Linked DNA regions of Macaca mulatta. The protein of the gene in region 1 interacts with the protein of each later gene in a pairwise test. Links are inferred from orthologs where the notes say so. Each region holds a gene or a part of one and is shown on either strand. Other genes may lie near its edges.

Region 1 (7,474 bases):
GAGAGGCCATGGCGGGTGGGTCACTTGAGGTCAGGGGTTCAAGACTAGCCTGGCTAACACAGTGAAACCCGTCTCTACTAAAAATACAAAAAAATTAGCCTGGCGCAGTGGCGGGCGCCTATAGTCCCAGCTACTCGGGAGGCTGAGGCAGGAGAATGGCTTGAACCCGGGAGGCGGAGCTTGCAGTGAGCTGAGATCACACCACTGCACTCCAGCCTGGGCGACAGAGCGAGACTCCGTCTCAAAAATAAATAAATAAATAAATAAAAATAAGCCAGGTATGGTGTTGCATGCCTGTAGTCCCAGCTACTTGGGAGGCTGAGGCAGGATAATCGCCTGAACCTGGGAGGTGGAGGTTGCAGTGAGCAGAGGTTGCCCCATCACACTTCAGGCTGGGCAACAAGAGCAATAATTCCATCTCAAAAAAAAAAAAAAAAAAAAAAAAATAGTGGCGATGGCTTAGGAAGAATTCTTCCCCCACCTCACACTCTCCCGATCCTGCTCTTCTCCCCCAGACTGGGAACTGGGTCTCTCCCGATACTCACTCTTGTTCGAGTTGAGCCACGGGACACTTGTACTGGGCGGTGCTGAAGAGGCAGATGTCGGCGTACTGTCTCACTGTGGGGGGGGACAGGGTCAGGCAGCTCTGGATGGAGCACAAGCCACCCCCACAACACAACTCCAGACCCCGTGGCGTGGCCCCTCCATGCTCCCCCCTGGAAGCAGTAAACACCGAGGCTCCCTGTATCATTCTGGAACAACCTAAATTCTTTGAGCCCTGGTGGGTCTCCCGCCCTGGGAAATGGCCTGGGCTGAGATCACACCAGGAGCCACCTGTGCAGTAACACCCTCCCCAAAGACCCCCTTCCAAACCCCACCTCCTACCAGAGACTTTGATCTTCTTGACGGTCTTGGTGGAGTTGTTGGTGACGTGGACATTTACATTGAGGGGCTCCCCATGGTAGTACAGCTTTTGGGGGGAGGGGGTCATATGAATTGGATCTGGTTTTTACTGGTCCCATCATCAGTGTGTCCCCAAACACAACACATTGTTCTGGCCCCCTCCCATCAAACCCAAGCATACGGCAACTCTCCACATCCAGCCAAGGCAACCTCCTTTACAAATGTCATCTTGACGTGTGGCTTCGCCCCCCCTCCCCTGGGTCTAAACTGCACCGTGGCATCCGCGTCACCCTCTCACACCCCACCTCCTTGTCCAGGGAAGCCTCGAGGTGCAGGGACCGGTCAGACATGAGGAAGTGGCGTGTGGTTTCTGCTGAAGGCTGGGGGCCGGGTTTCTCTGGGGCAAACTGCACCTTTCGGATCACCAGTCGCACAGAGTTCCTGGGATGGGGGTGGGGGCAGAAGGGGGTCAATCCTCAGACACCTAGACCCCTACTCCTCCCCCGCACGGGGCCTGGGCTCCTGGAAAGCCTCCTCTTACATCATAGAGGAGGTCGCGTCCCTCACCTTTTGTGGCTTTTCTCCTCTAGTGATTTAGCACAGAAGGCTCGAATCTCAAAGTCTACGCCGCAGGCCTCAGGAGGGGGAGAAAAGGCCACATCTTACCCAAGGCTCCCGCCACCATCACTCCCCTTCCTTCCTCCCCCTTCCCTCCTCTTGGGCAGGGATGCTTGCCCCATTGTGGTCTCACGACCCTGGCGACCAAGTCTTCCTCTCCAAAGCCCCGAACCTGGCAGAGGCTTGGTCATGGTAGTGCAAGGGGCAAGGGGAGCCCCCATCCCCAGATCCATGCAGGTCCAGAGAGCAGAAGGCAGGGTCACGCGTGCATCACCATACACACCCCACTTCCACGGAGACACTGGCCTACCCTCGGCCCCACCCTGGCATCTCGACAGTTCACCCTCTGGCTCAGCTGTGCCTCCAGGCTCCTGCTGGCCCCTGTCCTGCCCTGGGAGCCCTCAGAGCTGTTCCTCCCATACCTTCCCTGTGTCCTCTGGTCCTGGCTGCAGTGTGACAGAGCATGGAAGATTCTGGGGTATCTGTGGCAGAGGAAAGAGAAGACTTGAGTCCTTCCAGAAAGCCCCCAGATCTTCCTCCAAATCTCAACTTGCGAGGCTGGAGAGGTTGGGCGCGGTGGCTCACGCCTGTAATCCCAGCACTTGGGAAGGCCGAGGTGGGCGGATCACCTGAGGTCAGGGGTTCTAGACCAGCCTGACCAACATGGCGAAACCCTATCTCTACCAAAAATACAAAATGAGTCGTGTGTGGTGGCGCACGCCTGTAATTCCAGCTACTCAGGAGGCTGAGGCATAAGAATCGCTTGAACCCAGGAGGCAGAGCTTGCAATGAGGCAAGATTTTGCCACTGCACTCCAGCCTGGGCGACAGAGTGAGACTTTGTCTCAAAAAAAAAAAAGAAAAAGAGGCTGGAGAAAGGACTCCTGGGGATGAGAAAGGAGGAAGGAAGGGACCCAGAGAGAAGGCAGATAATCAAGGGCTTCCTGAATGCATGGGGACCCTGAAGGGAGGTGGATCTAGGGTCCCTGCCTCACTGTTTCTTCCAGATCTGTCCATAGCGGTGCCTTACCCCCACCCCAGACAGTCCCAGCCCAGCCCCCTGGCCCTCAGAGGGCAGGGGCATCCTCACGGTGAAGAAGAAGGGGTGTGCATGCTGGCCAAGCTTCCTCAGCAGCCGGTCCTGCAGGCGGGTGGCAGGCCGGGGCGGGTTGGGCACCGGGGGGAAGGCCTGGTAGGTGGCGATGAACAGGTCTTTACGGAAGGACAAGCCCAGCACATCCAGGTCTTCACGGCCATAGCGGAAGGCGCAGGTGAGGGTCACAAACACTGGCAAGGGAGGGTAAGATGTGTGGTCAGGAGCCCCGCTTCCCCAGTCCCCCAGCACCTCGCAGCCGCTGCTCCTCCCTCAGCAGCATAAGACTTGCCTGAACCCTACTCCTGGCTTCCACCTCCAGCCTCCATCTCTCTGGGGTGCCCTTCCAAGGCCAGCCCATTTCACTTCCCTAGCCCCCACTTCCCCTGAGCCCCCGGACTTGGGGCCAGTACCTTTGCGGTCCTTCAGGTAGTCAGGGTCCACAAGCACCACGCCATCTAGGAGGGGGACACACCAGCTCACTTCCGGAAAGAGCCGCCGCCCCCTTTCCTGGGCCCGGGAACTTCTTCCCCTCTTGGGGAACGAGCTGCTCCTTTCTGAGAACACTTACCTACAGGGTCCACCTTGTCCAGGTGATCTACGAAGTCCCGCTTGCCCAAGTACACGGTGAGCTGAGGATGTCAAGGGGTCACAGGGGAGATTGGGGAGGATGGTGACAGGGCATCGGAGCCCTCAAAACTGGCTGCCCTGCCCGGGGATCTCCAGGCTGGGCTATCAGGAAGGAGTTTCTCCAGCTTTCCTCCCAACAGTGTTGGAAAGTGAGGGTGGCGGCGTTTCTCAGACTAGTGGACCTTAACGCTTTTTAGCTGCTCCCTAATCTCTGCACACCTCTGCCCACCAGCCCGGTGTGTGTGTGTGTGTGTGTGTTTGTGTGTGTGTGTGGCCTCAGCCCACCCAGTCAGGTGTGCATGTGAACATGTATGTGCATGTGTGTCTGTGTGTGTGTGTTTGCATCCTCAGGGAGGACTCAGCCCAACCAGCGAGGTGTGTTTGTGTGTGTCTGTGTGTGTGTGTGTGTTTGCATCCTCAACCAGCCAGAGGGGTGTGTGTGTGTGTGTATTTGTGTCTGTGTGTGTCCGTGTGTCTATGTGTGTGTGTCTTTGGATCTTCAGGGAGAACTCAGTCCTACTAGCCAGCTAGAGAGCAGCTGCCACCCTCACGAGGTCCCCTCAAGGGGCTCTAGGATCAATAAGCCATAGCCTGGGTGGGGGCTGTTAACTTTTCCCAGCCCCACGCACCTTGGGTTGGGCCCTAGGAGGGCTACAGGCACATGGCTTGCTTCTGGCCGCCTCCTCTGTGATCTGCTTGGGGACCCAGGCCTGCCCCACCCAGCCTGTGGCTGGCTCAGGCTGAGCAGCCTCTGCGGCAAGGGGCTTCAGGAGGAAAGGAAGTCGGCTCTTAGCTGTCACAGGAAGTGGGGAGCTAGGGGTTGGGGATCATCTTTGGGCAGGCTGGGGATCGTCTAGGGGAAGGCCGGGCTTTGTTGGGGCCCAGGGAGGGTCGAAAGGGTAAGTGCTGTGGAGACTCACCTTGCAGTTAGGGCTCGACTTCTTGAAGACCCTAACAAAACAGAAAGGGAAACCCCACTGCCTCCCTCAGACTCAGCAGGGACCCCACACCAGGACCCTCTCCCTCCCAGGCCTCCTGCCTGAGGCTGCAGGGCTTTGCCCAGCTCTGCCCCTTTCCCCTTCTTCCCGGAAGGTCCTTCCTATTTCTAACATGGCGGCAAGGGGAAATGCCCCTCTCTTGTCCACCCTCCTTCGTCCCCGTCCCTCCCTAGTAATGGCCACTGGTTGCCCTAGGAACCACCCAGGCTCTTCCCAGAGGACCAGAATGGGCAGGTTGCCTCAGTGTCTGGGTAAGACCTAACCATCTTTCCATCTGGTCTACAGCGCTGACTGCTGGAGCATAGAGGAGAGCAATGACCCTGGCCTTTGGCCCTAGATGGTTTCTACCATAGGCCCTACCCAAGTTTGACTCTACTCTACTCACCTCCAACTGTCCCCAACTCCGACCTCAACAGCTTAAAAGCCTGTTTGAACGCCCAGCCTTTAGGAAGCTGACCCAGCCCAGACTCTGGTCACTCCTTGTTTTGGGTTCCTGTCACACCTTGTTGATGTTTTACTTGTGGTGTGGTAGCACACACGGACAGTTAGCTGCCTCCCTCCTCAGACTGTGAGCCTCGGAGGCCTTATTCATTTACGCATCTCCAGCACAGTGCCACCCAGATCATGAAGATGCTAATGCTGCTAACATTCAGAGTGACTTCTCCATGCCCAGCACCGTTCCACGTGTTTCAAATGTGTCATCTCTTGTAATACTCTGTTGTTTGAGACGGAGTCTCGCTCTGTTGCCCAGGCTGGAGTGCAGTGGCGCAATCTCAGCTCACTGCAACCTCCGCCTCCCAGATTTAAGTGATTCTCCTGCTTCAGTCTCCCAAGCAGCTGGGATTACAGGCGTGAGCCACCACGTCCAGGTATGTTTTGTATATATATATTTTTTGAGATGGAGTCTCGCTCTATCACCAAGGCTGGAGTGCAGTGGCACGCTGTCAGCTCACTGCAACCTCCACCTCCTGGGTTCAAGCGATTCTCATGCCTCAGCCTCCTGAGTAGGTGGGATTAGAGGTGCCTGCCATCATGTCTGGATAATTTTTTATTTTTTTGAGATGGAGTCTTGCTCTGTCGCCCAGGCTGGAGTGCAGTGGCGCAATTTTGGCTCACTGCAACCTCTGCCTCCCAGGTTCATGCCATTCTCCTGCCTCAGCCTCCCGAGTAGCTGGGACTACAGGTGCCCACCACCACGCCCGGCTAATTTTTTGTATTTTTAGTAGAGACGGGGTTTCACCGTGTTAGCCAGGACGGTCTTGATCTCCTGACCTCGTGATCCGCCAGTCTCGGCCTCCCAAAGTGCTGGGATTACAGGTGTGAGCCACTGCGCCTGGCTGCTAATTTTTATATTTTTAGTATAGATGGGGTTTCCCTATGTTGGCCAGGCTGATCTCGAACTCCTGACCTCAAGTGATCCGCCCGCCTCAGCCTCCCAAAGGGCTGGGATTACGGGCTTGAGCCACTGCGTCTGGCCTGTATTTTGTAGTTTTTTAGTAGAGACAAGGTTTCCCCAAGTTGGCCAGGCTGATCTCCAACTCCTGACCTCAGGTGATGCACCCGCCTCAGCCTCCCAAAGTGCTGGGATTACAGGCGTGAGCCACCACGCCCGGCCTTAGGTTGCAGTGAGCCAAGATTGCGTCACTGCACTCCAGCCTGGGTGACAGAGCAAGACTCCATTTCAAATAAATAAATAAATAAATAAATAAATAATAAAATAAAATAAAACTACCCAGTGATGGAGGTCCTAATGTCTCTATTTTCCAGGTGAGGAAACTGAGGCAGAGAGAGGTTAAGTGTTTTAAGGTCACAGAGAGAGTAAATGGTGGGAATTAATAGAAACCAAGGCGGTCTGGCTCCGAGTCCATCCTCTCAATCAATATTACACTATCCGTCTCTGTAGCTGGCATCAATAGTTTGTTCAATTGAAGGGTATTCGCTTTCCAGTTGCTGAAACAATTTAAGCCTGGACTCCACCCACTGCTGGGAGGGTAAGGAAGTGTTTGGCAATCCCAGTGATATGGCCAATTGTGAGCCTATTCTTTGAAGCATCACCTTACTCCTTCCAATCCACTCTGCCTCAGCAGTGATCCCTGGAAAGGATCCTCAGATAGACAGCAGAACGTGAAATCCTGCCAACTAGCCCATCCCTCCTCCAACTCTACCACCCCATTCCCAGAGGACCCCAATGGGCAGGTTGCCGCAGTATCTGGGTAAGACTTAACCATCTTTCCATCTGGTCTACAGCTCTGACAGCTGGAGCATATAGGAGAGCAATGACTCTGGCCTTTGGCCCTAAATGGTTTCTACCATAGGCCCAGTTTCTGCTACAACTTCACTTGTCCCTTCTTCCCAGAAAGCCAAGCTGTCCAAAGATTATAAGGTAAAGGGTATGGAGGCCCCCAGGTATTCCTAACCAATAAAAGGGAATAAACATCGATACGGTGGCAGCTAGAATAAACATCCTATCTTTTGTCCCAACTTGGGGGCTGAGTGCTGTGGCATCATCCAGGCTCTCCCTCCCCTTTGCTTCTGGTTTTCCTCTTTGTCCCAGGGTGTCCTCCCATTAGGAGCCCTGGCACAGGGCTGTGACAGCCACAGTCAGTGGGCCAACTGCAGTGTGGCTCTGGGGCAACTGCCCTGGAGCAGCTGCAAGGCACCTGCCCTTTGGATCCTAACCCAGCCACCTCCTGCCAGGCTGAGGAGGAGCAGCGTGCAGATACTAGGCTGGCCAAGGAGGCAGAGTGTGGGGATGACCAGGGAGGTGCCCAATGGGGGCAGGGGTAGCTGAAGCAGATGTCCTTTCACACTTCCTGCTATTCTCTCCATTTCCTGTGGCCCAGAATTTGATGGAGGTGAGGGAAATTGGGTCAAGTCAGCAGTCCCCTTTGGTCCATCTGTCCCACTCCTTGAACCACATAACGGAAATCAGGGGCCTCCCACAAGGCAGCAACTTCCCCTTTCTCTGGGATGTTTAAACCCTAATCCAGGATACCGATCATCTCTCTGATGATCTCTTTCTGATACTCATCTACTTGACGCTCAGAAACCTGGGTTCTCCTACTCTATAGGTTGGAAGTGGGGTCGATATGATGCTTTGCAGAGCAAGCCAGAGCTCAGGACCAATTCCCTATTCCCGATCCCCTCTGGGTTGAGGCCTACAGCCCCAACCTTTCTGTCTTTTGCTCCTGCTCCCCTGGGACTCAGGCATTCACCCCTTACCCCTTGGGGGT
Region 2 (7,942 bases), on another chromosome or scaffold:
GATTCAGATCAGGACTTTGAGTCAGACTCCCAGTGGGTCTGCTGCTTATCTGGGTGATGTGCAGAAACGATCGGGCTCATCTGTAAAACAGACGGGCAGAGAGCCTCAGGTTACCTCTAGATAAGAAGTGCAGAGCCCACTTAGGACGGCATCTTGATGGAGGAATGTACCCTAAATCTGACCAAGCCTTGTCTAGATCCAATCACTAACTGACAGAGATTACAGAGAAACACATTAAATTACACTGCAGAGATGCAATCAATCAAATACCAACTGTGGAAATGCTACAGAACAACTTGATTGCTTCAACAAATAAACTACCAAGAAAACAAAGAAATAGGAGGGGGATCTATGGATGAAGAGAAACTTAAAAGACGTATCAACCAATCAACAATGTATGGACCTTATCGTGCTCTACCTTCAAACTATTAAGGAAACTTAAAATTCATGGGGCAGCTGGAAATTTGAAGATTGACTAGTTATTTGATGATATGAAGGAATTATTACTTTTTCACCTTTAAAAGAGTCAGGACCTTTAGAGACCCACCGCAGTGTGCTGTATAACTACTGCATACCTACCGAGCACCCTGAGGTTGTGCCTGTCTGTATAACTACTGCATACCTACCGAGCACCCTGAGGTTGTGCCCATCTGTATAACTACTGCATACCTACCGAGCACCCTGAGGTTGTGCCCGTCTGTATAACTACTGCATACCTACCGAGCACTCTGAGGTTGTGCCCGTCTGTATAACTACTGCATACCTACCGAGCACCCTGAGGTTGTGCCCGTCTGTATAACTACTGCATACCTAGCGAGCACCCTGAGGTTGTGCCCGTCTGTTTTACAGATGAGCCCGATCGCTTCTGCACATCACCCAGATAAGCAGCAGACCCACTGGGAGTCTGACTCAAAGTCCTGATCTGAACCACTGCTCCGAGCTACCCTACCACATGTATTCTCCCGTTTAGCTTTGTCTTTAACAAACATTTCCTGGGCACCCACTGTGTAATTAGCATCCTGAAAAATAATGAATGAAATGACATGATATTTAGGAATTCCTTGAAAATAATTATGGGTGGTAAGTGTGTAAGAGGATAACATTAGAGATGAAACAAGATTGGTCAGGAGTTAATAACTGTTAAAGCAGAACGCTATTCTGTTTAGTTTGTATATGTTTGAAAATTCCCATAATAAAAGTTAAAATTTAAAAAATGATGTTGAAACCGGATCATACAATCAAGTACAAAATATCAGGAATTAATTATTCTGAAGGAAAATTATGGAAAAATGGCACCTTCCTAACCAAGTGTCAGGTATAACTACTGTATGTATGTAGACCAAAAATAGTTGCCCTATTGGCAAATCAATAGTCTTAAGAAGAAAAAAAATCTGGTCTCTGTTTTATGTCTCACGAAAACTGGTCTAGTCACTATTAACTGGTTTGTCTGGTCCTTTTCTTTATCCAGAAAATTAAAAATATTTTATCTTAGACACATTCAAGAATCCCCTCTAATGTTTATTCAGGGAACCAAATAAACAGATTTTAGTCTGTGAACAAATTAATGTTCTGGCACCCTGAAAATTAAATTACCAGGAAAATCAAAGCTGTCCAGAGAAGTCTATGCAAAAATAGTATTGTTTTTAACTCTGCAGGATCCTTTTGAAGAAAAATTTAAAAGTTAAATCAAGGAAAACATTAAATAGATTGGTGGTCATTCTTCCAGAAGAAGTTAAAAGCCAAAAGAGAATACTCAGAGCTGAGGGACTCAGGAAAGAATCCTTATCTAGGGAGAGATCTGGGTTCGGATTCCACTCACCAGCTGCTTGCTAAGAAGCAGACTACTCAAACTCCTGAGCTTCCGTTTCCACAGGGCTCCAGTTACAATCAAATGAGTATCTGGGCTGGCACCTGGGCAAACAGGGCCTGACTCTCCTGGCCTTAGGCTACCTTTCCTGCTCTCCTCACAGCTCCTCCCTCCCACACAGCCACTCCTGGAGGATGACAATCTGCAACCAAGCTGAATGAATCTGTATTTGGCTTGGCTCACAGCATTTAAAAAAAAAAAAAAATTAATTAGCTATTGCCAACATTTAAAAATCGGAACAAATGTGGAGTGCTGCCTTCTGTTTTAGAGACAGGGTCTTGCTCTGTCACCCAGGCTGGAGCACAGTGGTGCGATCATAGCTCACTGCAGGCTCAAAATCCTGGGCTCATGGGATCCTTCCACCTCAGACTCCCAAGTAGCTAGGACTACAGGTGGATGCCACCACACCTAGCTAATTTTCAAAAATTTTTTGTAGAGACAGGGATCTCACTGTTGCCCAGGCTGGTCTTGAACTCCTGGCCTGAAGTGATCCTCCCACATCAGCCTCCCAAAGTGTCTGAGATTACAGGCGTGAGCCATGGCACTAGTCAAATTCCACCTTCTTCTAGAAAACTGCTGGGTAAGGTTCCAGTTCTTCAGAGTCCCCACGACTCTGTGCCCTTACACCTGGCCCTCCAGACTGATTCTCAACTCCACAGTGGGCTATGGTCCTTACCTGGCCCTGCTCCTTCATACCTCTGCCTCTCCCTGCCTAGCAAATTTCTCATCACCCTCAAGGCCCCCCAGCATCACCTGTCACCTCCTCCACATTTCCATGGCATAGCCCCTCCACGACAGCAAGGGTTGCACAGTCCTGGAACTAAGTGTCTGCATGCCTGCCTTCTCTACTGGGCTCCTGGGCTCTCTTCGGAAAGGGACCCTGTTGCTATCTGCCTTGTGTCCCTAGGGCCTAGCAGAAAGCATGACCTAGATAATGCAGAATTCAGTAAATGTCTCCTGCATGTGTGGAAGAAAGCTAGAGCTAAACCATTATAAAAATGTGAGATTTTACATCACAGCTTGTTCCAACGGTTAGCAATTAAAGGGGTCAAGGACACCAAAATGTTTCACAAAATAGAACAAGCTTCCATCTGCTTACAAGTTTCACACGTTAATCAGAAGTCACTAAATTAACAGATAAAGCAGAGACAACAGGGAGACTGGGCCATTTCTTTGATCATTCATTCATTCATTGAGCTGATACTACTGAATACTTACTGTGTGCTTTCTAAGTACTGGGGATAAAGCAGTGGACAAATCAGACAGCTACCTGTTTTCACAAAGTTACATCCTAGTCGGGGAGACAGAAAATAAACAGGCAAATAAATAGAAACGTTTCAAACCAGGTAAGAGCTAGGAAGGAAATTTTTAAAATAATGAAATAGCATGACTAAGGGAAGAAAGAGGGTGGTCGAGGAGGGCCTCACCCAAACCGAGACATCTGGCCAGAGGAAGGAGCAGAAAGAGCTACTTGTGCCAAGATCACAGACAACTCCAAAGACGAGGAAACAGCAAATACAAAGGTCCTGGGGCAAATGCGGGCTGGCATGTTCAAGGCGGGCGAGATGAGTGGACTGGGGCAGCAGTCTTCTGGGAGAGGGGTGTGGTGGTAAGGGATGTGGGCTGGGTCCCCTCTGGCACTGCTGGACACTGAGTGTGCAATGACAAGGCAAGGGAGGCGTGCGTGGGGAGGCGGGAGGCTGGGCGGATGAGGAGGGGGTTCCTACACCACTCACACCGGCAAGGGCCAGCACCCTGCCCAATCTTCCACAAATGTTCACCGGCGTCCTGCCCAGGCGTCTGCATACACTCACACAGCCTGACAACAACCCTGTCCAGAAGAGGCATTTCCCCACCTTCCTGAAGGCAAAACCGCGGCAGAGCGAGGGTCAGTGCCTTGGTCAAGGTCGCGGGGACGCGACCCCGGGCCCCTGGGCCCCCGGCGCAGGAGTGCAGCTGTTCGCCCCACCTCCGCGAGGGATGGCGCCCGCAGACCCCACGGGCAGGTCGGCCGGGCCAGGCCGGGGAGCAGGCCCGCAGCCCGGAGCCGCTGACAGCCGGGCGGAAGGGGGCGCCTGCGGCATCCCCGAGCACAGGGGCGACGGCTGCGGCTGCCAGGGCCCCGCAGCCCCCGGCCCACCCCGAAACCCCGGCCGCGCGGTTCCCCCGCCGCCCCTCCCCGCGGGCCCGGCCCGAGCAGCCGCCGCCAGGCCTAGCCCGCCCGCCGGGCTCACCTCGCCTCCCCGCCGCCGCGCCACGGGGAGAGGGCGGGCGGGCGGACTGGCGGCGCTGCGTGCTAGTCACTCCTGGCTCCGCGGCCCCGGCTCCGCCACCGGCCCGCCCCGCCGCGCTCCGCCCCGCCGCCGCCGCCGCCGCAGTGGGTGTGAGGGGCGCCGGGGCGCTGCGACCCTTCCGGTCCCGCTCCCTTCTCTGCCGCTGCCGCCGCCGCGGCGCCCGGTCTGACCGACCCTCGGGCCGACCAATCAGCGCGCGGAGAGCGGAGCAGGCGCGGCCAATGGCGCCTGGGGGGCGGGCCGCTGGAGGTGGTGTGGGCGGGGCCGGGGGCCGGGTCGGGCGCCCGAGGTCCTGGGCCGGGGTTCCGTGGGTTCGACGCCCCCGGGCCTTTCAGTGGCGTCGGCCGACCGGCCATGGCGCTCGGTTGCGCGCCGCGCACGCGGTGAGCTGGAGACGCAGGCACTGCGCGTCCCACCAGCTGAGCCCGCTGTCCGCGCGAGGGGGCCGCAGCTCGGGGGAGAGGGTGGCCCGGAGGACCGGGAACCGGGCTGGAGGCGCGCGGGGCTCACACCGCGGGGTCCGCGGGGAGCCGGGCCTCGCCTACAGGTGCAGGCTCGTGGCGGCGAGGCGGCCTGGAGCAGCACGGGAGGCCGCCCGTTTCGGGGAGAGCCCGGGGCGATCGCGGGGAGAGGCCGGCCTGGCGTCCGGGAGCCCGGCGTGCTAGGGCCCGGGAGGCGGGGCTGGCCTTGTACTCGGTTGCTCGCTGCGGCGCCGCAGGAACGGGTCTGTGGGGGTGTGGGTGAGGCCAGAAGTCGGGTTGGAGAAGGGGAGGGGGTGCGAAGAGATGGCCGTGTGTAGACAGGTTACCCGATGGGTCGGTGACGCAGGAGGGGAGTGCGCTTGGTGGCGGGGTGACTTAGTTGACAACATTTAAAAATTGGGAGGTGCGGCAGGGCGCGGTGGCTCACGCCTGTAATCCCAGCACTTTGGGAGGTCGAGGCGGGTGGATCACCTGAGGTCAGGAGTTCGAGACCAGCCTGGCTAACCAGGTGAAATCTGTCCCTATTAAAAATACGAAACAATTAGCTGGGCGTGGTTGCGGGCGCCTGTAATCCTAGCTACTCGGGAGGCTGAGGTAGGAGAATCACTTAAACCCGAGAGGCGGAGGTTGCAGTGAGCCGAGATTGCACCATTGCACTCCAACCTGGGCGACAGAGTGAGACTCTGTCTCAGAAAAAAAAAAAAAGGGAGGTGCTCAGTCAAGTCTCTGAGAGGGGTGGGGGGCGGGGCGAGGAGTCCCTTGCTCAGGGCCCCCTAGGGACTGGGACCCGTTGACTCTTGAGTTGCTTTTGAGGCTGGATCAGGTACCAGCGGCCTGGGGGTCGTACAGGATGGGAGAGGCCGGGACTTGGGATGTTGCCAGATCTACGTTGAAAAGTGAAGCAGGAAGCGCGGCACGAGGCTATGCACATGGGGAAAACCGCGGAGAGCCGGGCTTTGGGGACTGGAAGAGTGGGAACAGTGGTTGACAAATGGTGAGTGGGGGGTAGAACAGCAGAAACACAATACCAGTATCCACGGAGTGGCCAGGGCCAGAGTTGGGAGAAGGAACAGGACTCTGCAGATGGGGAGGGCAAGGGGCTGGGTGGTGTGAAGGGTGGTTGCAGACTTTGGGGAGGGCAGCTAGCCTGTGACCCAGGTTCCAAGGGCACTGAGGGCTGGGCCAGGCCGCTTGGAGGCACCAGAGCCTCAGAGGAGGGGTGGGGTAGAGGAACGGATGCAGCATGGTGTCCTCCTTGGCCACCAGAGGGAGTTTGCTAAATCTCAGCATGGCTCATCGCGGCTTGAAATTCTACCTCGCAGTGTGGCCTGCATTGAGGAGGGCCCACACCTGTCCTTACCTCAGACTCACCTGCCACCTGCCTCAGGTGCATGAGAGAAAACAGGAAACCAGAAATTGCCAGGATCAAGGATCATGGGAAAAGAGTAAAAGCCTAGCTGTCAGAGCTGAGGTTCCACCAAGGAGCACTGATGGGTGCTTCTCCTCATTAGGAAGGCTACGCGGTGGCTCACACTTGTAATCCCAGCACTTTGGGACGCCGAGGGGGGTAGACTACCTGAAGTCAAGAGTTCGAGACCAGCCTGGCCAACATGGTGAAACATCATCTCTACTAGAAATACAAAAATTAGCTGGGCGTGATGGTGGGTGCCTGTAATTCCAGCTATTCAGGAGGCCGAGGCGGGAGAATAACTTGAACCCAGGAGGCAGAGGTTGCAGTGAGCCGAGATTGCTCCACGGCACTCCAGCCTGGGCAACAGAGCAAAAACTCTGTCTCAAAAACAAAACAAACAAACTAAAAAAAAAAAAACGGGGACACCAATTTCAAGCACTGCAGGCCTAACTTCATAGCACTCACATCATGTCAAGTGAGTAACCAAAAATCAGTGTACATGTGTACACACCTATACATATCTCACACTAAGTTTTCTGTAAGGGTTCTTTTTATTCCAGAGACACTGCTTTTTTTCTGGTTTATGAAATACAGTGAACATTTATGGACACAAAGCTGAGGTGACAGGGTGGGGATGGGGGCCTTGGAACAGCACCAAGAATGCTGGTTGAACCCTCCAAGTGAAAAGATCCTGCCACAACATATGTGAACCAGGTAGGACACGTGAGCATGTCTTACCTGATCTGGTCTGTGGTGGGGAGAAGCAATTGAGGGAGGCCTCCTGGGCCGGAGGAAGCTGTTGCTAAGGCTGCCCGGCAGGATATGTTGGGCCTGCGACTTAGGCAGAAAGGGCACTCAGGCCCAAATGTTCAGACGTGAGGACCTGCTTCCTGTGTTCAGGGAGCCACAAGTCACCTGGTCTTAGGGAAAGGTGAGGGGACTGGAGAGTTCTGAGGACCTTGAGGTAGATTGGCACTGCCAGGCCTGCGGGCTGCCTTTAGCTCACTGATAGGCCTTGTTTAGCCCAGAGAGGTTTGCTTTTTTTAGTTGATTAGTTAAGAAACATTTAAAAATTAGGAGGTGCTATTTTGAATATTTATCCTCTATGAAACTCATGTTCATACTTAATCTCCAGTGTGGCAGCACTGGGAGGTGGGGCCTCTGAGGGTGGTTGGGATTAATCTGATGGATTCATGGATTAAAGGGTTATCACCGAGTGGGACTGGTGGCTCCTTTAGAAGAGGAAGGAAGAGCGGAGCTGGCATGTGAGCATGCTCAGCCCCCTGGCCATGTGACACCTGGACCATCCTCAGGACTCTGCAGAGTCCCCACCAGCAAGAAGGTCGTCATCAGATGCAGCCACTCAACCTTGGACCTCTCAGCCCCCAGGGCTATAACAAATACATTATTTTTAAAAGTCAATTACCCAGTTTCAGGTATTCTGTTGTAAGCAACAGAAGCAGACTAAGACAAGAGCACGGCAGGGTGGAGGAGCTAGGGGTGCCTGGGGCATCGGGGACTTGTCCGGAGACCAGCTGTATGTGCAGCCACAGTGCCTACAGGTTTCTGTGGTCCTGATATCCCCCACCCTTGATTGGCCTGGATTCCAATCCGACTCATTTGTCAGCTGTGCTCCTCTGGGCAAGGGATTCACTTCTGCCTGCCTTGGTTCTGTAGGAAGTGGTGTGGAGAAGGAGGGAATCAGGAAGAGCGAGGTGCAGCCCATGCAGCAGGGATGGTGTACGTCCTTATGCTGACTGGCCTCTGTCCCCTCAACACCGTGCCTGCCCTCCCCCGACTCCACTAACCCACATCTTCCCTTCTCCCCAACCCCTACAAGGACCCAGAGATGTGCTGAAGGGTGTAGGTCAGGGCTGCCCCAGCTGTG
Region 3 (8,211 bases), on another chromosome or scaffold:
TTGACTAGGTTTGTCTTTTAACAAAGATGTACAGTTCAATTATTTTTTGCATGTTTTCAAAGTTGTGTAATGATCACCATAATCAAATGTACAATTTTTTATCACCTTCCAATTAGCAGACACTACCATTCCTTCCTACCCCTCCACTCTCAGCCTAGGCAACCAAAATTCTCTACAGTTATGTCACTTCTGAATATTTCATATAAATGGAATCATATAATATGTGTTCTTTTGTGACTGGCTTCTTTCACTTAGTACAAGGTTTTCAAGGTACTTCCATGTGTAACATATACTTTATTCCCTTTTATTGCCAAACAATATCTCATGGTATGGAGATATCACCTTTTATCTATTCATCAGTTGATAGATCTTTGACTTATTTCTGCTTTGGGGCTATTATGAATAATGCTGATATGAATTTTCATGTGTACATTTTTGTGTGGACTTATGTTTTCATTTCTCATGAGTATATACCTAGGAATGGAATTGCTGAGCCATCTGGTAACTCTATGCTTAACATTTTGAAGAATTCCCACTGTTTTCCAAAGTGGCTGTACTATTTTATATTCCCACCAACAATGCATGAGGGATCCAATTTCTCCACATTCTGGACAACACTTGTTACTATTTGACTTTTTGATTATAGCTGTCCTAGTAGGCATAAAATCATATCTAGTTGTTCCTTTGAGTTGCATTTTCCTGCTGGCTAATAATGTTGAGGTTTTTATGTGCTTGTCTACCTTCTTTAGAGAAATGTATATTTAGATCCTTTGCCCATTTTTAACGGTTTTTTAAGTTATCTTTATATGTGTTTTATTATCTTTATATGTTCTGAACACAAGTCCTTATCAGATATATAATTTGCAAATATCTTCACACATTCTTGGCTTTTTCTTTTCACTTTCTTGATACCCTTGGAAGTACAGATGCTGTTAATATTGATGAAATCCAATTTACCTACTTTTTTTTTGTATTTCTTATGCTTTTGGAGTTGTATCTAAGATGGCTTTGCATAACCCAAGGTCACAAAGGTTTACTCCTATGTTTTCTATTTAGAGTTTTATAATTTTTCTCTTAAGCTTGGGTCTATGATCCATTTTGACTTAATTTTTATGTGTGGTATTACAAGGAGTCCAACTTCATTCTTCGGCATATAGATAGCCAATTATTCCAGTACCATTTGTTAAAAAGATTACCCATCTACATTTTTTCAACCCTTTTCAAAAAAATTAGTGGCTCATACATGTAAGGGTTTAGTTTGTGGACACAATTCTGTTCCATTGATCTTTCTATCTATTCCTATGCCAGTTCCACACTGTCTTGTTTATTGTAATTTTATAGTAAATTTTGAAATTGGTAAGTTTGTTCTTTTTCAGAATTGTCTTGACTATTCTGGGTCCCTCGCACTGCCACATGTTTTTAGGATAACTCCGTTCATGTCTGCAATAAAAGCTTGCTGGGTTTTGATAGAGATTTTGTTTAACCTGTAGATCATTTGAAGATTAATGCCATTGTAACAATATTAAATCTTCCAATCCAAGAACATGGAATGTCATTCCATTTATTTAGGTCTAATTTGTTTCAACAATTTTGTTGTTGTTGTTTGCTTTCAGAGTACAGGTTTTATACCCTTTTGTTAAATTTATTTCTTAGGGTTTTTTGTTTTTTGTTTTTTTTTAAATGGAGTCTCACTCTGTCACCCAGGTTGGAGTGCAGTGGCACAATCTCAGCTCACTGCAACCTCCGCCTCCCGCGTTCAAGCGATTCTTCTGCCTCAGCCTCCTCCTCCTGAGTAGCTGGGACTACAGGCAAGCGCCTCCACGCCCGGCTTTTTTTTTTTTTTTTTTTTTTTTTTTTTTTTTTTGTATTTTTTGTAGAGACGGGGTTTCACCATGTTGGCCAGGCTGGTCTCGAATTCCTGACCTCGTGATTCGCCCGCCTCAGCCTCCCAAAGTGCTGAGATTACAGGAGTGAGCCACTGCGCCCGGCCATTTCTTAGTATTTTTACTCTTTTGATCTATAGTAAGTAAAATTGTTTTTATCTTTGAATTTTTAAATTTTTAACACAGTTCAAATCAGTGTGTCTGATTTCATCTTCTTCTCTAACAAACCAGGGTACCAGAACTGCTTCAGTTTCTCTGCCTTCTCTTTGTCTGTGATGACTAATGTATGAAGGTATCTGCTGCATCAAACTTTAAACTTCACATTATCCTTATTTTTCTTGACTTTGACAGATCTGGCATCCTTTCACCTGGCTATAAGCAGAAAGTCCTTGATTTCCTTAACTTTTTGAGGCATGGCAGCATGTCGGGCGGGAGAGGACACAGACCCACACAGCAAGTGGTGAGAAGCAAACAGTGGAATTGTTTTCTTAATTCCATTTGTTGATTGTTTATTGCTAGTGTATAGAAATACAACTGATTTTTGTATATTGATCTTGTATTCTAAAAACTTGCTCAACTTGTTTCTTAGTTCTAATAATTAATTGATTTCTTAGGGCTTTTTAAAACAAAGTCACGTCATCTACAAATAGAAATTATTTTACTTTCTTTCTAATCTGGATGCCATTTATCTTTTTTTCTTGTCCAGTTGCCCTCACTAGAACCTTTAGTACAAAGTTAAATAGAAATGGGAACACTAGACATATTGTCTTGTTCCTGATCTTAGACATAAAAACGTTGTTTTTCAATATTATGTGTGATATTAGTTAAGTTTTTCATAAATAAACTTTATAGTTTGAGGAAGTTTCTATTCCTAGTTTGTTGAGTGATAGCATGAAAAAGTGTTGAATTTTACCCAATAGTTTTTAAAAAAAAATTTAGACAACCATGTAGGCTTTGTCCTTTATTCTTGTTTTTTACTTCTTTAATTTCATTTTTATTGATACACAATAGATGTACATTTTTTAGGTACATGCAATAATTTAATGCATTCATAAAATTTGTAAAGATCAAATCAGTGCAATTGGGATATCCATCACCTTAAATATTTGTCTTTTCTTTATGCTAGAAACATTCAAATTATTTTCTGACATATACAATAGATTACTGTAAACTATAGTCACCCTACTCACCTATCAAACATTAATTGATTTTTGGTAAACTAATCTAATCTTACTTTCTGGCAGCAACCTCACTTGACCATGGTGTATAGTCCCTTTCATATGTTATTGGATTCAATTAGCCAGCATTTTGTTGAGAATTTTTATCCATACTCATAAGAAATATTGATGTCTATACTCATAAGAAATACTGTAGTCTTCTCGTGATGTCTTTATCTCGTTTCGTTATCAGGGTGATACTGGCCTCATAGCATGAGTTGGGAAATCATCCTTACTCTTCTATTTTTTGGAAGAGTTTGTGAAGAATTGATATTACATCTTCTTTAAATATTTATTGGGTTTTTTCAATACATTTTTTTAAACGCAACTTGGGTAGCATGTCCAATAGGAAGAAATGAGTGTCCACCCTTTAATTTCATAACCCTGGAATTAATCCATGTAATCTATGATCCACAACAGTATTACCAAAGTTCGAGTTACTCATAGGAAAGAGAAAGAAGTTCTCTAATTCGTCCTTAAAAGTTTTCCAAGTTCAGGGAAAAAAAAAATGTTGAAGAACATGAATCTCCGCAGGAAATGATACTCCTGTACCCGCAGCTCGCTGCCCCTCATGACCCCTCGCTAGGCGGGGTTCGAGGCCAGGTGGACACTAATCTGATAGTTGACAGGGGACGACTGTGGCATCATCCTTGCTGCCGTCAGTATCCTGGGAGGGAGGAGGTTGGGCCGGGAGGGTCTCCCGGGGCGGGGCGAAGGAGGAGGGAATGCAAAACAGAGCCTCGTCCCCGGAACCCAAGAAGCAGCAACGCCCCTCACTATAAATTCGGAGCTGCCTCCTCGCCGATGATTCCAGCGCCTGACAGCCAGGATCCCAGGCAGCAGCGAGTGACAGGACGTCTGGACCGGCGCGCCGCTAGCAGCTCCGCCGGGCCGCGGCGGTGATCGATGGGGAGCTGCTGGAGCGGACCCAGCGAGTGAGGGCGCACAGCTGGGACGCCGAGGCGGCGGGCGGGAGACCGCACCAGCGCAGCCGGCCCTCGGCGGGACGTGACGCAGCGCCCGGGGCGCGGGTGAGTCCGCGCGGACCGCCAGGCACGCTTGGGGGACTTCAGGGGTGGGGTGCTAAGTTTCATGTCACGGTGTCCTAACTGCTGGCTCTATACTGGGAAGCTCTCTGGGACCAAGGAAAGAGCGACCGTAGTTCTGGTCAACGCCTGCCCCTGGAGCTGGCCACACTTCACCAGATCAGGTGAGGGGCTTCTGGAACGGGAGGGAACAAGGTAGGTTTGTTTGCCACGTGCCCCGAAATTCTCAATCCATTTTGACCAAACTCTTCCGAGTGTAAGCAAGAAATTTACAGAAATAAGATGCAACTCAATAAACTTTCTTCCTGAGGCTTTTAGTTAACTCTTGTCTTTTAGCCATCATCTGAGTCGGAAGCCCATAGGACTCTGCAAGGCGTTAGTTTAAAAGTTGTGCTACTTTTGAGGTGAAGTTAAGAGTGTCCCCATCCACGCTCTCTGCTTCCCAGACGATGTCCCTGCGCTGCTCACCTCCCCTTAGCTCTCTCCCTGCAAACTATAGCGGTGGGTCCTAGACAGGGGACGTCCTTCAACCTGGGCCAAACTCTCCCACCCTCAGGATTCCTAGATGCTCTTTGAATGATCAAACTGAGGAAGGAGAAGCAAGATGTCTCCACACTCCAATTCCTACAGCCTTAGCCAATGCATTTGTGTAACTGAGACAGGATTTTAGCAAAAGGTCTTCTGTTTCACAGGACTAAACAGAGCCTCTGGCGGGCCACTTCCCGGCACCCAACTCCATCCTCCGATTTTGTTAAATGTCCAGGTAAACATCTCCACAGTGCCAGCCTGTTATAGTCTCCTGAAGACCTCAGAAATTCTTCGCCAAAGTGTCTCCTTCTGCACTGTTTTTTGGGGCAACCATTTGTGACCTGGCTATTGAGCTCACCTGGGCCCCCTTCTCTTCGTTTACTAATAGCCTCGTTAAGTATTAAAAACTTACTTTCCCCCACTCAGGAACCCTCTCCTAACGAAAGTTTGGGTACTCACTTTCCCCTGGGATCAAATTTGGGACTTGGCGACATTTATTTCCTGTGTCATTCTGAGAAGATAAAGTAAGAGTAAGAGGCAAGCAATTTGGCACCCTATTGATCTATTTTATTACTTGGTTGAGCAACTTGTGCTTCCCCTTGAAGCTGCTGCATCCCAACATGATTCTCTTGTTAGTTACCACCTGAGGTTCTTGGATCTCCAGGTGTTTATTTCACATAGCATATGCTTTAACCCTCTTATAAGTCTTCTCTAAGAAAGGAACTGCCATACTTCCCTTGTCTTCTCTGATGTCTCCCCAGCTGTAAAGGCCCCACCTGCATAACCTATCCTCAGGCTGTGATGTATTCCCGGGTGCCCTGGTACCTTCTCCTTCCTCTTCACCACCCTTCCTGACAGTGTAGGAGCAGGAAAGCATGGGGAGAAGGGAAATGGAGACTCCCACTTAACTTGCTGTGTGATAGTAGGAGCATTATTTCACAACTCTGAACCTCAAGTCTCTGCCCATAAGGTCCCCTACAGTGATATAATTCCTTCCTTCCTTTTGTTTTTTGGTTATTGCTTTAAAATAAAAGTCTAAGCTTAAGGCTAGGTTATAGAAACTGCCCATCATAATTGCTAGGTCTCAACATTTGCTTAAGTTCTGTGATTCTTAGTTTCACCTCTGTTATCCACTCTCTATCCCCGCCACCTTTTTTTTCCCTGACTTCATTGTTCTTTGTTCCCATCTTGAGACCTTGATTTCTGGTTCTGCTCTTCTTTGACCTTAAACTGAATCAACTGTTCCATCATCCAACTCAGAAGAAAATTGTTTTCCTTCCACCGGTTCCACTGATGCCAATGGAAGACTTGTCTTCCTTGCGATTTGCAAAATGTCTTTCGGTCACTGGTGCTGCGGCAACGCTGCTGTCCCACAGCATTCTAAGCTTAAATCTTTCTCTCTCTTACCCTGGGTCGGTATTCAAAAAAGGGCAGATTTGTGGGTTGCTCAGGTTTCTCACTTTTCTTTTCTTTCTTTCTAGTTTGGGGTCAGAGTTGTGTATTTGTGTATATAATTTTGTTTTGGTTTTTTGTTCCTGCTGCTACTTATGACTGCTGTTATTTCGATTACGACTAATTAATACTAATGATTCATTTTCCCCTATGCTAGAGGGAAAATTAAGGAAGAAAAGTTTAATCTGCTACTTACCCAAAGCCCAGGTGAAATACTTAGCTGAGAAGGAATTTAAAACTCATAGTTTAAATGCATGATGCATGTCTGCTGTCATTTTATCTGTGCTGCCACAGTGTCCTTTCAAGCAGATAACTGAGAGTTGCTGTATTTTGCCTTTGAATTTGTTACAGGGACAAAAATAGTGACCCCTCACATTTATGTGTTTTGGCTGCTTAATGCAAGCTCTTGCCCTCTAGCCCCATGCTTATTAGTTTACCTAGCTCTTTTTTTGCTCGGTCGTAACTGGAGAATGCCAAAGAGTCTCCCAAGTAGGCTACCAAATTAAGAATGGTGTTTAAAAGTTTGCAGTAAGCCCAAGTGTTGTAAAGATTAAAATGCTGTTTTGAAGATGTGCTGTGGCAATAAACAAATATGGAGCCAGAGCAACAAAATGTGACCAAGTGTCCAAGCCTAGCTTAGGAACACTTTTCTCCCATGTTATCTAGCAAACTGACAAATCAGCTTTCCAACTCGTAATGATTGGAAAATGCTATTATTTTTCTTCAGAATAGTCTTAATGTTTCTTTTTCAAAATTGCCTAAGGTCATTGGATTATGTGGTTTGTGTTTCTTTTCACGTAGGTGCTTGTTAAAGCAGTATACTCAGTCTCTGATAAGCAACAGTAAATTTGATCGATTTGTATCCTAAATTTATCTATCGCTTTACATTTTGTTTTATTCATAATATGAACTTTAGCTTCTAAAAATCAACTTTTTAATAGTTTAATATATAAAGCCATCTTAAATCAAGGAATATCTATATGACTTAAGGTAGTATTCCACTGAATTGAAAGTGACTACCGTAATCCTATTAAAACTCTAAAATACAATGTTTTAATCACAGAAAAAAAAAGTCTTATAATTTAAAGAACTATAAATTGCCGGATGTTTCCCTAGTTATTACATTAGTGACAAATTAGACAACTGGAAATAGAAAACAGAGTATATGTTTAGAACAGTCATAAAAGGACTAGTGACTATTGCTGCTAGCTGTGGTTGTATTAACATTAAAATATTTACTATCTGATTTTTCTTCTTTCTTATCATAGCAGATGCTTTGAAAAAATTTCTTGCATATGAAAATCAAAATTGTCTTCCAAAACATTTAAGTAACAGAAAAATTCATTATGTAGTGTAAATGCTGTATGATTACATTCCTTTACATTATTCTTATAGTTAATTTAGAAGGGTTTGAATTGTTTCTGTTTTGTTTATATTTGTTTCCTCAATAGGTGCATTCTCTAACTGTCTTAAGTAGAAACAAACGTCTACAATCTATCAGTGATTATCAGTCTCCTTCCTATTACCAAGAATATTTTTATTGTGTTGTTAGTCTCGCGTTTAATTATTTTTTTAACATTTAAAAGTTTGGAAAATGGGTAAAAAAATGAGTGTGCCTTGTTTCCTATTATTACAATGTGCCTTCCTATATCAAGTCCCAATTCTAGATGTTCTTCAAACTTGAAATCATAGAATTAATAATCCTTCAGTTTAAGTCAACTTTTATGTGATTTCTCGTCCACTTAGACACACATAGATGCCTTCATCTTCACCAAATAATGTAGAAATTTTATTTAGATCAATGGATTTAAGTACTCTGTATGCTTAACTATGAAATAAGAATATTGAGAAATACACATATGATTGTGTACTTTTGTTGTTGTTGTTGTTTGGTTTTTTGAGACAGAGTCTTGTTCTGTTGCCTAGGCTGGAGTGCAGTGGCATGATGTCAGCTCACTGCAACCTCTGCCTCCCAGATTCAAGTGATTTGCCTGCCCCAGCCTCCCTAGTAGCTGAGATTACAGGTGCATGCCACCACGCCCAGCTAATTTTTGTATTTTTAGTAGAGAAGAGGTTTCGCCATGT

The links.
Region 2: the proteins of ARRB2 (region 1) and MAPK9 interact in binary tests that used the Homo sapiens proteins (3 or more experiments, as listed by UniProt). The two-hybrid records come from large-scale screens. The link is inferred for Macaca mulatta from reciprocal best matches to the Homo sapiens genes ARRB2 and MAPK9.
Region 3: the proteins of ARRB2 (region 1) and AGTR1 interact in a two-hybrid assay, tested with the Homo sapiens proteins (2 studies listed by BioGRID and IntAct, with this or other methods). The link is inferred for Macaca mulatta from reciprocal best matches to the Homo sapiens genes ARRB2 and AGTR1.

What each region holds. Positions count from the first base shown.
Region 1 is NC_133421.1:6,241,168-6,248,641, reverse strand, and holds part of ARRB2 (beta-arrestin-2), read right to left. Parts: exon of another isoform or gene 5,986-7,474; intron 5,308-5,985; exon of another isoform or gene 5,106-5,307; intron 4,195-5,105; coding exon 4,164-4,194; intron 4,037-4,163; exon of another isoform or gene 4,008-4,036; coding exon 3,873-4,007; intron 3,246-3,872; coding exon 3,185-3,245; intron 3,072-3,184; coding exon 3,027-3,071; intron 2,808-3,026; coding exon 2,551-2,807; intron 2,004-2,550; coding exon 1,944-2,003; intron 1,539-1,943; coding exon 1,471-1,538; intron 1,345-1,470; coding exon 1,209-1,344; intron 971-1,208; coding exon 886-970; intron 619-885; coding exon 546-618; intron 1-545. UniProt on the Homo sapiens protein: Functions in regulating agonist-mediated G-protein coupled receptor (GPCR) signaling by mediating both receptor desensitization and resensitization processes.
Region 2 is NC_133411.1:189,304,009-189,311,950, forward strand, and holds the start of MAPK9 (mitogen-activated protein kinase 9), read right to left. Parts: upstream 4,306-7,942; 5' UTR 4,102-4,305; intron 1-4,101. UniProt on the Homo sapiens protein: Serine/threonine-protein kinase involved in various processes such as cell proliferation, differentiation, migration, transformation and programmed cell death.
Region 3 is NC_133407.1:51,685,846-51,694,056, forward strand, and holds the start of AGTR1 (type-1 angiotensin II receptor), read left to right. Parts: upstream 1-3,906; 5' UTR 3,907-4,192; coding exon 4,193-4,310; exon of another isoform or gene 4,311-4,341; intron 4,342-8,211. UniProt on the Homo sapiens protein: Receptor for angiotensin II, a vasoconstricting peptide, which acts as a key regulator of blood pressure and sodium retention by the kidney.